Linked DNA regions of Arabidopsis thaliana. The protein of the gene in region 1 interacts with the protein of each later gene in a pairwise test. Each region holds a gene or a part of one and is shown on either strand. Other genes may lie near its edges. The genes, in order: KIPK and AT4G33920.

Region 1 (7,083 bases):
AACATAAATTATTCAGGCCCGGCCCAGTAGGGTGAGACATAGGTGATAGGTGCAACTGCCTAATTTTGCTGGAAAAAAATTGATATACACCCAAAAATGTGCAATTACAACTAGGCGGTATTCAAGAAAGCGGGTTACGCAGCCGTCTAGGCATCCCCTAGGTGCTAGGCGTTCATGTACCGCTTCGACTTTCTTAAAATCGATTCTATTAGGCGGTGAGGAAGATTTGGCGGACTATGCAGACATTAAGTGGATTACACGGTCATTAGGCGGGTTTAGGCGGGCTAGGCGAATCATCATTGGGCTCTACCTCCAGTCCAATGAGCTCATCCACTTGTCATATCTCAATCTCCGTGCCCGGTAATAGTAACGCTTCCTCAGATGTTTCTCTAAAACTTTCAACAAGCAATGAAGAAGAAAAAGAAGAAGAGAACCTGAGAAACAACAACAATGAGAGGGAGCAATTGAATTGGTGGAGCAATGTAGGGAACCACCACAATATGGGTGGACCATTAGCTGAGGCTTTGAGGTCAGCTTCTTCGACGTCAAGTGTTCTTCATCAGATGGGAATCTCAACTCAAGTCTTTCATTGAAGAAAAGTGTTTGTAATCTTTTGGTTTTGTAGATTAGTGTCTACTAAGATTGTAATGTTTGATCATATATTTAAAAATTGAGATACGAAGGAGCATATATATTTTTGAGAATACTATATCAGATTATGTCTCAGAGAACGCTAAATTTACATATAAGACATTTAGATTTAACTTAGATATAATAACTTACAACAACGATTACTCTGAATGCTTATACCAGAGAATATCTATGTCTTGCTTAAAACAACTCGAACTCAAGATGATCGCCTATGGCTTTACATTCAAGATACCTATTATTACTGCCTCCAGGCGAATCCGCCGCTGCCTCTGGTCCACCACCATACTCATAGAAATCCGGTAGCTCAGGCGGGATTGCACACCGGATCAGAGCCCAATTCAATCCTTCAAAAAAAGGATGTCTTTTGATCTCTACAGAACCTTTCTCTGACCCGAGCCTGTTCTCTGGTTCCTTAACAAGAAGTCCCCTGATCAAGTCTTTTGCCTGGAAGCTTACAAGCGGGCTATCAGGAAACTTGAGGTTCTGTAACACAACATTGGCCAAAGTCTCGTCGTTGTTGTAACCTTTGAATGGTGTTTTCCCGTATAAAAGCTCGTAAAGGAGAACCCCGAAAGTCCACCAGTCAACTGCAGCGCCATGTCCTTCTCCTTTGATGATCTCTGGGGCTAGGTACTCGTGTGTTCCCACAAAGGAATTGGATCTTGCTTCGGTTGGTTCAGCCACGAGCTGAGGCAATGATCTACTCAAGTGTTGTTGGGTTTTCGAAAGATGATCACCCCTTTTTGGTTTTCTACCTTGTTGTTGGTTTGAGGAGAGCCTAGGGCTGAAACACGAAACCTGGCAAGATGGTTCGGTGATACAGAATGGTTGTATGCAGTTGGATGTGTTGTATGGACCTGAAATCCTTGCGGGATCTTTACCAGGTGGAGAGTTTGACCTGACAAGAGTCGGGTTCACTGCACAACGGAGTGAGAGGTCAAAATCCGTAAGCATAATGTGTCCATCTTCACGGACAAGAATGTTTTCCGGTTTCAGATCTCGGTATATGATACCAAGCATGTGTAAGTACTCCAGTGCAAGGAGAATTTCGGCCACATAGAATCTACAGAAACAAATTTTTACAATCAATTTTCAGTACATTAAATAAGCTAGACACGAAATGGAAAAGGTAAATCTTTACCTTGCTGCAGGTTCAGGGAAACACCGGCCTAGCTGCTTCTGTCTGAGGACATGAAGATCTCCTCCAGGACAATATTCCATGACTAGACAAGATAAATTATCCGAAGTAAATTGCGCGTATAATGTAGGAAGAAAAGGATGGTCCAACATTTTAAGTATTTCTCTTTCTGCTTGTGCCCGGGGAGACTTTTTCCTTCTCGCCAAGAACTCGTTGTCCATAACCTTTATGGCAAACAAACAGTTTGTACCAATCAGCTCGGCGAGATAGACTGTTCCTATATCTCCACAACCAAGTTTCTTCAGAAGGTTGAAGTGTCGTAAACCCAAAGAGCCGTATTGAACCTTGATATGCTTAATCGCTTCCCATCTCACATCCATCGACATGTGAGGCTTATTCCCACAGCTAAATCGGCTCAGATTACTCTCCTCACTAATGCTTGTGCTCCTGCTATAATCCCCAAGACTATCTTTTGAACTCAGAGAGAACTCGAATTTCTCACTGGAAGTCGGATTCTCGGTTTCTTTTTCTACCATTGCACCGATTCCACTATTATTGCTAGAGGAAACATCTTGTTTCATTATGACAATGTCAGCTTCAGAGCTTTGACTGACATTACACGAGCCAGAGGAGTTCTCGTCAGATCCTTGATGAGCTTCTTTATTTGAAACAGAGCTCAAACTATCTGTGCAAATCTTAGGATTATGACTAGAAGTATATGAAGGTGGGTTGTCATCGATGCTGGTGCTCTTCAACGAACAGTGACATCTCTGGCAGAGAAGTTGATTGGCACTAGAGTCCAAGGAAGGAACAATTTCTTCATCGTCTTTTGTTGGGTAAGTTGCTGACACAACCCCGATTTTTAACTTCTTCTTAAGCAAAATTTTCTTTTTCGGTTGTTTGGGACGTGGAATCATTCTTGTTACCTTCCGTACTGTTTTGCCATTCTCTGTCCCTGAATTAGGTGCATCATCCAACTTCCCTTTCTGCTCTGAGTCTACAGCAGATGAGGAAATATTCTTGTCAAGCTCCGTCGCATTGACTTTCTTGCTAGAGTGAGATGGCAGTGAAGTAACGTGTTTGTCTATTTCTATCACATCATCTTCAACAAATGCATGAGTGGAAGGAGACGCAACATTTTCATCTAACTCTATCTCATAATCTCCACTGCCAGAACTAAGACAAGACCCAGGTTTGTTGGATCTATGCAACAGCTTAATCTCCCGCGTTTGATTCCCCACTCCTTGTAATCCAAAACTGGTTCCAGCTTGAGATGGCTCAGAAATGGGGTTAGAAGGATCTTCAAACCGTTGAGGTACGCTCTTTGAAGAGCTTGGTTTATCGTTTACAGGCATCAAAGGTATCTCAACCAAACTTCCTTTACCCTTGTCCACAGGAACAAGCCCAGACCTGCTGCTAGTAGATTCATTCGAAACTTGGTTATACAAACTCTTTATCCTGTCAGCTTCTGAGACCCTCGGAGATGCAGCAGCAGATTTCGACAACCGTTTCTGAGCAGCCATTTCCGACGCCTTAGAAATGCAACGATCCCTAAGAGCCTGCTTCAAAGAAACTGAATCAGAGAGACCAACAAATCTAGGAGACTGAGGTGTCCCTGGTTTTTTCATGGACGCAATTCTCTTCGAAGGGCTTGTGGTCCTGCTTGGACCGGCACTCGCGCTCGTCTCATGATGATGGAAAGAAGAACTCATCAACCTCGTAGTAGATGGTTTAACAGAAATAGACTGAAAAAGCATATCAATGTCATACTCAAGAGAACCATGATACTCTCGTTGCTTACGCTCCACCAAATCCTTACTTGATGATCCCATAACCGATTTACCATATCTCCCGGAATGTTTTGGCAATCTTACTTCATCATCCTTCTCTTCCACAATCTCACAAGCGCCTGCAAACGACCCCATCGCAACAGAGTGGATACAGAATCTAAAATCTCTGAAGATAATCAAAGCCGCACCACCGAGTTATCATTCATCTTCTTGTGATCTGTTTCTACACAAGATCCTGCAACAATCACAGTTACCTGAATGAAAAAGAAAAATCAGTAAAACTGGTAAAAGAATACTAACTTCAAATGGAGATTAATGTCTATTAGAGCAATGAGGTGAAGATATTAAAGAGAAGCAAGCAGATCTAGAAACGAAAGTTAATAGCTTTTAGGTCATTCATTATGTTTTTGTAGACTCAATCATGAACCCTATACCAGTACAGATAGAGAGACCTATAAATTTAATACAGCTAAAAAAGAAGACACTTTTAATGGAGAAAATTTGTCAAAAAGCATCTGCGTAATTGGAGATATTGTGAAAGTAAAATTAGAGTGAACAAGAACTGAGATTGGACCCATTATTAAACCAGGGGATGAGAAGAACCCTAAAGATCGAGAATTTACAGAGAAGTAACGAAATTAATAAATCAAACCGCGTAAAAAAAGAAGCTTCGAGTGAGATAAGAGATCTAACAACTAATGAGAACCAAAATCGGAAAATTTCTTATAGTTTCAGATCTCAAAAACTTAAATTTACAGGGACACAAAGAACAGTAGCTGAAGCATGAGTGCAGAATCGATTTAGCACAATTAAATGCAGCAATAATCTTAAATGTCAAATCATAGAGAGCCAATGAGTGAACAAAGAGGAGCTAGCTAATGAACACACACCCAGATTTTTTTTTTTTTTAAACTAAATTTTTGAATTGAAACTGCAGAGACCTTAAGTGACCACATAGAGATAATGAAAGGTCTGAAAAAGGAAAAAAAAATCAGAGAAACCCACCCAAAAAAAACCCTGAATACGGTCCCCAAATCTCATGAATTAAAGCAAATCAAAGAGAGGGTTACAGAAGAAAAATAAATAAAGTGCTAATGGAGGCGTGCAAAGAAGAAAAGGTAAGAGATAAAGAAGAAGCTGGCGATAAATTGAAGGAACAAAGGCTTACCCAGGACAAAAAAAGAAGAAGCTTGCTTGCTGAGAAATACACTAGAATTAGGGTGATTTTGGAGCTCAGATAAACCCTAATGGCCTTGAGCTTTGAAGAGGAAGATCCAGAGAGGAGAAATAAAAAGTAAAAGTTTTGATTTTTGTGTAATTTTTGTTTTCTGGTGAATGAGAGAGAGTTAAGAGATGATCAAGTTGAAAAAAAAAACATGGTGGGTCCCACAGCATATGTTTGCGGGTTTTTTCCTCATTTTATTATGCCTCAAAACAAATAAAAATTACTACTGTATTTTTATTACATATTTCACTTCAGAAGATATTTAATTCCATTTCAAAACTCTTTTATTATTGTTCATAAATTTATCTGAATTGTTATTGTTCTTTTATTTAAATAATTCGAGCTTTATTTGGATTTATGCTGTTTTTATTCATAGAAACAAGTATTTTAATATTATATACTGTCATGTCAAAACTGATTTCACCTCCCGGAAATGTTGATGATCAATAATTTACTTCCACCAATATCATGACATATTTGACCAAAGTCAAATTGCCAAAGAAATTTCCCATCATTCATCGAATAGTGACTAATCTATAAAAGTTGTATATCATGCTGATTTTTTTTTTTTTTTTTTTCAAAGTCATAACACTGCTCTCCAGTTGAATCTTAGATCACTAGAGTAGTAGAGGTCGACTAGATGTCTTTATCTAGCCATCTATGATTCTTCTAATCGAGCTAACTCAATCGGATTATATCAATAATATATTATAGAACTTTATTAAATAGTTTCTTTTTTTTTTTTTGGGCAAAACTAAATTGAAAAAATAATAGGGAAAAATTGAGGAAAAACCCCTTTACAATCAGAAATCCCATAAGAAAGATTATCTTGATGAAAAGATTAGTTTAGTGTAATCAATAAAAATAAATAATTACAGTATTTCGATCGTCGTATGTCTTAATTTACTGCGAACACATGGTAGTAGGTAAGATTGGTGAGAAGATAAAAATAGATGTGAATGCTTTTAAAATATAACGGTGGAGCAATATTGTCAGAATAAGACAGGTAGCCAATGCGCAGTTCTTTTCAAAATGTTTTTTCGACAACACTTCTTTCGAAGAAATAACGTTTTTATTTTGTAGATTCATATAATTTAGCAAACAAAAAAAGAACACTGTAGATTGATATGTATTTTGAATATATATTTTTAATCAGTCTTTCAAATTCATAACTATGGAACTATACTAGTACCATTTTACCTCAAAGTTCAGACATCAGATCATAAGATAAAAGTATTGAACATACAATTAAGAATTAGGCCTGTTACTAACTTAGGAAACATTAATGATTAACGAACGATATGTTCAAATTTAAGCAGACGAAAATACTACAAATCAGTCTAATGTATAAAATATTTCTGATAGAATGACTATCAGAAAGATAATAAAAAGTGGAAGGTGACTGCATTTTTATAGCCAAGCCGAGACTTTTTCGTGGGTTACTTAACTAGTTTATAGTATTTATATTTAGTTTTAGTTTTAGTTTGGTTTTATCAATTGTATGTGAAGCGGTAATAGATTAACATGATCATAATCATTTTTAGGTGTGTTGACTTTGTGTATGATGGTAGGTCAATGGGTCATATATAGATTACTTTGGATCTCGTTGATAAAGCTTATACACACGCAGGCAAATCGATCCTTTTCCTCGGTACAATATACAATGCGATTGCAATTTACAAGAAATTAGAATACGTTTTTCCACGTAAAACAGTAAATTATATGCATCATTAATTACAAATATCTCAAATAAAAACTAAAAACCATTATTGCTTCATTAGCCACCCAAGACAAATGAATTAAAAAAATAAGAAAGAATGAACTAGAATCTAATAGAAGATGCATAGGAAAAATCAAATAGAGTCTAATGGAAAATGCATAGGAAAAATCAAATAATATACAACCGTAACCATAAGATCAAGAAACATAACTTAATGATACATGATCGAGATTAATAACAACAAAGTACTTTTGAATCTGGCAAAAAAGCCTAAATCATACAGTTGGAACGTGGTGTTAGGAAATAATAGAGACTTGATAGGTCTTTGAGAACCCTTTGAGCCTAGGATTCCTCTTTCTGCGCCTTTAATCTCTTCCCTCATGCTTTTAATCCCCATTAAATATATTGTAAACACTAAACTAACACAAAAATTAGATGTGTTACGTCCGCTTCTGATTTCTTATTTAACTTAAACCAACCATCAACATCAAAAGATTTTATTATACAAACATATGCATGCGCATATTTAAATATATCAATGGTCCTGCTAATTATTTTA
Region 2 (4,878 bases), on another chromosome or scaffold:
GCTTTTATTAACCAGAGAGAACTGTTGAAACCTGAAAGATGGATCTTCCACTGGGTAAGCCAGATATTTTCTTGACGCCTCTCTTGTCGATTATTCTGGTGGCTTTCTCAAGATTCTTACCAAACAACAGCTGCAAGCTGTATTTGCAAAATTAAATCGATAAACCCTAATCATACCAAACGACTGAAGAAAAATCAATAAATATTTTCGGGAAAAATAAAGAATCCCAGCTATGTATAAGAGAGAACTGACATTGAGAGCTGTTCTTCGGTTACTGCAGAAAAAGATGGAAAATTCAACGGAATAAAATGTCGTAAACAAGGAAAAGGAAAGAGAGAAGTAGTAAAATGGTGAAGTACCTGAACCGGTTGATTCAATGTTCGACCAAACGGCGTCTGCGACCAAAAGAGTGACGTTCATCGTTTTGCTTTTTCTTCCGTCGAAACTTTTCTGAGAAAGTTCTTCTGGAATTGTTGAATTTTTGAGTTTGAATTGCTCTGCCCAATTTCATATTCTCAAAAACCGCTCGTGTTCAATTCGGTTTAGATATTTGACAAATTTCAATTTCGGTTTGATTTGGATCTGAAGTTTCGAATGTCTGTCATGCATATTTTCCAAAATTTAGGCAACATCTGGAATTTTGTTGGCTTATTTTGGTTTGTGATCGATAATGTTTTTATTTAGTTATTATAGACAAATAATTCAATATACTAATCTCTCCATACAAGGTCATAAAAAAAAACAATCTGATATATGAAGAGTTGTCCTCAACGGTTTCACACTAGATTTTCATACAAAAGTATTGTTTGTGTCAAAAGCAAAACTGCTTTGCCCAAAAACTAAAGGGTTTCGACCTTCTTTGCTGGTAAAAGAATATACAAATCCAACTCCAATATTGAAAAAAAAAAAAAACCAGTTCTTCGTAGAAAAACAAATAAACAAATATGTAAACAAGTTTTCTCCCTATTCGGATCTTTCCCAAGCAGCCATTTTACCATAATCAAACAGTCAGTATAACACATTGAGTAACCGTCGTTGCTCTGCTTCATCAGAGTGTAATGAGTAGATATCCGGTGGAGCGGTGATACCTCCTTGCTTCACCAATTTACTATTCGATGAACTGGTTTTGTTTTGATCTAGATAAACTACAATAACGCTTATGTCGTCATGGAAATGTCGTCGAATTCCTTTGGCTATTTTCTTTATATCTCCATATCTCATTTCTCTCTTCTTTGCCGCTTCTTCCAGAGCAGCTCTTACAAGTCTTCGGGCAATACCCTGTAGAACACAGAGTTAATAAATAAATAAACTAAGTAGCTAACATAAATGTGAAGATACAAAGCAAACTTGAGTTTAGGGAAAACTTACAGTTCTTGGGTGTTTGAGGACGATTTCTACGGCTGTTTCATCACTAAGATGTTCCCAGAGACCATCTGATGCAAATATCAGAAACAAGTCCTGTGGCTTAAGCTTCCTTACTATAATGGAGGGTTCGGCTGTCATCGCGGGTCTCCTCAAAGGAATGGGATTTCCATGTCGCTGGAAAATCGGGTCCCTGTAATACTCCGGTTTTTTCAAGTATACATCCCCAATTGATCTCGATACCTATAAAGAAGCGTATATGAAAACGATTTAGCTAACTAATATACAACGAGCTCAAACATTCACGGAAAGGTCACAAGCAACTAAAAAGCATGTATCTTCATTATTATGTATAGCTCTGACTACCGGGAATTCTTAGAAAAGCACAAAATCCACTGGGGAAGAAACGTTGCAGGAGCCCGTGTGACGGATTCCTGGAACATTGCAAGCCCCCATTTATATAAATGAAAAGAGAAAAGAAAAAACAACATCAGATTACACCTTTTAAATATTATAACTTCATCACAGATGCTATGTAATCACACGCAATTTAACAAGCAGGCAAGCAAAACTAAGTTATACCTGAATAATGCCTTTAATCCGCCAAACTCCACGTGTGTATAAGACGATTTGTGAGTCATCAGGGTTAAGTGCCTTAACCTCCTTTCTCACTTCTTCAACAGCAACATTATGATCAGTAGATAACCGTTCAGCTACGGCACCTTTATTACTATCAACCCCTGAAACAACGCTTCCAAGAACGGCTCTCGAGTCCCCAAGATTAGCAACATACAGTGTGTCATTAGAGATTGCACCAACAAGACAGCAAGATCCTACAGTAGCCATTTGCGGTTTCATGGGAAGGGATCGTTTAACCATACCACAAAACTCTTCTTCTGTTTCTTTGAATGCCTTTTTGATAACATCTACAGATAATCCCCCATGTTCTCTTGCAAATTCTGCAATCATAAAACCAATCCTGTAAATTTCACTAACAAGAACATGACTACAAAATCAATTCAAGAGGCAATTTACAAACCTGAACATGTTCACAAAGACCAAAACTTCATAGCAAAATTCGAATCTTTTAATATTGAAATGATCAGGGTAATAGAGATCTCATAAGTTTTGACCATCAAAAACGTAGTCAAAGAGTCAAAAGAAGAAAGAATCCTAAAACAAGTTTAGGGAAGGAAGAGTGGGATTATAACTTACTGTGCATATAAGGAAAGAGATGTCTGTTAACGAATCTAGAAGCTTCAGGTCCACCATGACCATCGTATACACCGACGTAAGTAGCAGAAGAAGATGTGAAAACCTGACTCTGATCTTCAAGCCTGGAATTGGCTTGAACCACCGCGATCGAATAATCACCGCCAGCGTGAGGTCTCAATTCCGATTGCCAGAGTAAACCATCACCACTAGCTCTGCTTCCCAAACACCGTTCGAGAGGCCGTGCTAAAGCTCGCAACATCACAACCTACTTAGGGTTTTTCTATACAGAGAGATTCTGAGTGCAGTAGAGTTAGAGAGAAAGAGATAACAAGATTTTCGATTCGATTGGATGAGAGAAATCGAAAGGTTTTTTTTTATTGAATTTTGATTCGTTCGTTTTTGTTTGATCTGATCGGTTTTAAGGGATTCGTGTGTGTGTTGAGTTGGTGGTGGTAAAAGAAAACCGCGTGAGGAAGAAGAAGAAGAATATTGATAGAGATGACTTGTACTTGTGCCGTTTCTTAGAAGGCTACGTAGACTACGCGTCGTTTTGTTTTAATTTCGCCCTCCCCCTTCTCTTTTTTTTTGCAGTTTTTTTCAACGCGTTGTTTATTTTTGTTATTCTTCTCCATTTAGCTTTATTTTTCTCAATAAATAGACAAAGTTTTGGCCCAAACATAAACGTCATTGCCGTATATTATACTAAAATATCTTTCTTCTGGAACAATTCAAAAACTTAAATTCTGATTCGGTCCAACAAAAAAATATCTAAATTCAACAGCTACTTTTATTTCTTTTTGAAATAGGAGATATTATATTAATGTAGTGTATAATATATATATTTATTTATATGTGATTTACAGAGTCAATGTTTGAATATTATTTAGAAATAGTAGACCCTTTTGAAATATAAATTCATGTCTACGATGAGTAAAGAATCAATTAAATTGTTCATGTCTACAAAAATGTTTACATCGTCTGCAAATAGCAATAAATTAATTCTATTTTGTGTCTTATATATTTTGTATTTGAATATATCAGTGGGAAATTGTTATAATGAGCGAATAATGAATGGGTAAGGATGAGTAACCTGTAGCCAACGTGTAGCTGATATATTTGCTTGTCAACTAAGAAAGACGGATAACAACTGAATACAATTTCTTGCTAATAATCTAGTCATCTTAGTATCTATATTATTATTAACCTAATTTTATTATCACGTTACCGTTTCCGGTATAAGAAAAAAAACATGTTCTGGTCAAAACAAATCTTTGTGTGCTGTGTTCTAGAGCATACTATTAAAACGATGAATATTATTGCTTATGGAGTAATTTATATTTAATTACAAGTGGCACATTTTTATTTGGTTGTTATAAAAAGGTTTGCATTTTGGGATTAAGAAATTGACGTGGAAGGACTTATATATATACGCGGAAGCAACTGGAAATTCATTGGCCCAAGTTGTCGAACTTTTTTGATCATGATGTTTACCTTTACATTTATAACATTATGGATGCGTATTTATCGTTGTTATGGATCATAGGGTGATTTTCAACATATATAGATCCATTCATTTTATTTTTTTTAACATTTGCATATCCACTCATATTATACCGATGCATACAAGATTCATCAAACAAAAAAAAACTTAATTAGTACTACTATTATTTCTGTCAATGCTCACTAAGAATCTCTCTAGTATCACATCTCTCTTCAGTGAACAATGCTCTGTGAACCCCAAGAACCAAACATTAAATGAGTCACCTTCTTTCTTAAACAACAGTTCTATAGCCCACAAAGAGAGCTCCTTGAACCTTCTTCTCGACACAAAGGCTACTTGAATCTTCTTCTTGCTTATTCTTTTCTAAACTCAAATCTCTATATGAAAATCATTTGTAGAATGGTTACACATTTTATTTGGTTATCAAAAAGAAGTTGCAAGAATATAGACTATTAGTTAAGAAAATAAACTCATTTGAAATTTCGTTGGATAATGTATTGATCTCGGCTTAAGACTCTCTAATTTGACTGTATATAATTAATAAATAATCATTCTTTACTTTTTAACCATAAACACAATTCAATGTTGGACTACATATCCACCTTACATTCTAAGATCGATTCCAAGTCATTATCGACAGCCTGAATGAAGCAAAACAACTCAAAAGAAGCCCACCTAATTCAAATCACAAAAACGTTCAAGTTCCATCGAACCAAAACTTAAACCACTCTACGCAACCAAACTTCAACCAAAAAAAAGGATAAATTCGGCGCATTTTTTTGTATTTGTTGACCAGTGAA

What was found.
Region 2: the proteins of KIPK (region 1) and AT4G33920 interact in a two-hybrid assay, tested with the Arabidopsis thaliana proteins (one large-scale study listed by BioGRID).

The regions. Positions count from the first base shown.
Region 1 is NC_003074.8:19,605,781-19,612,863, reverse strand, and holds KIPK (KCBP-interacting protein kinase), read right to left. Parts: upstream 4,968-7,083; 5' UTR 4,748-4,967; exon of another isoform or gene 3,834-4,747; 5' UTR 3,715-3,833; coding exon 1,793-3,714; intron 1,715-1,792; coding exon 832-1,714; 3' UTR 647-831; downstream 1-646. UniProt on the Arabidopsis thaliana protein: Could be involved in the negative regulation of root growth.
Region 2 is NC_003075.7:16,258,834-16,263,711, reverse strand, and holds AT4G33920 (Protein phosphatase 2C family protein), read right to left. Parts: upstream 3,205-4,878; 5' UTR 2,837-3,204; coding exon 2,578-2,836; exon of another isoform or gene 2,332-2,577; coding exon of another isoform or gene 2,322-2,331; coding exon 1,945-2,321; intron 1,606-1,944; coding exon 1,369-1,605; intron 1,279-1,368; coding exon 1,009-1,278; 3' UTR 658-1,008; downstream 1-657. Other genes in the region: SSN2 (zinc finger SWIM domain protein), read right to left, coding at 32-137, 253-274, 360-420. UniProt on the Arabidopsis thaliana protein: May dephosphorylate and repress plasma membrane H(+)-ATPases (PM H(+)-ATPases, e.g. AHA1 and AHA2), thus influencing negatively plant growth and fitness.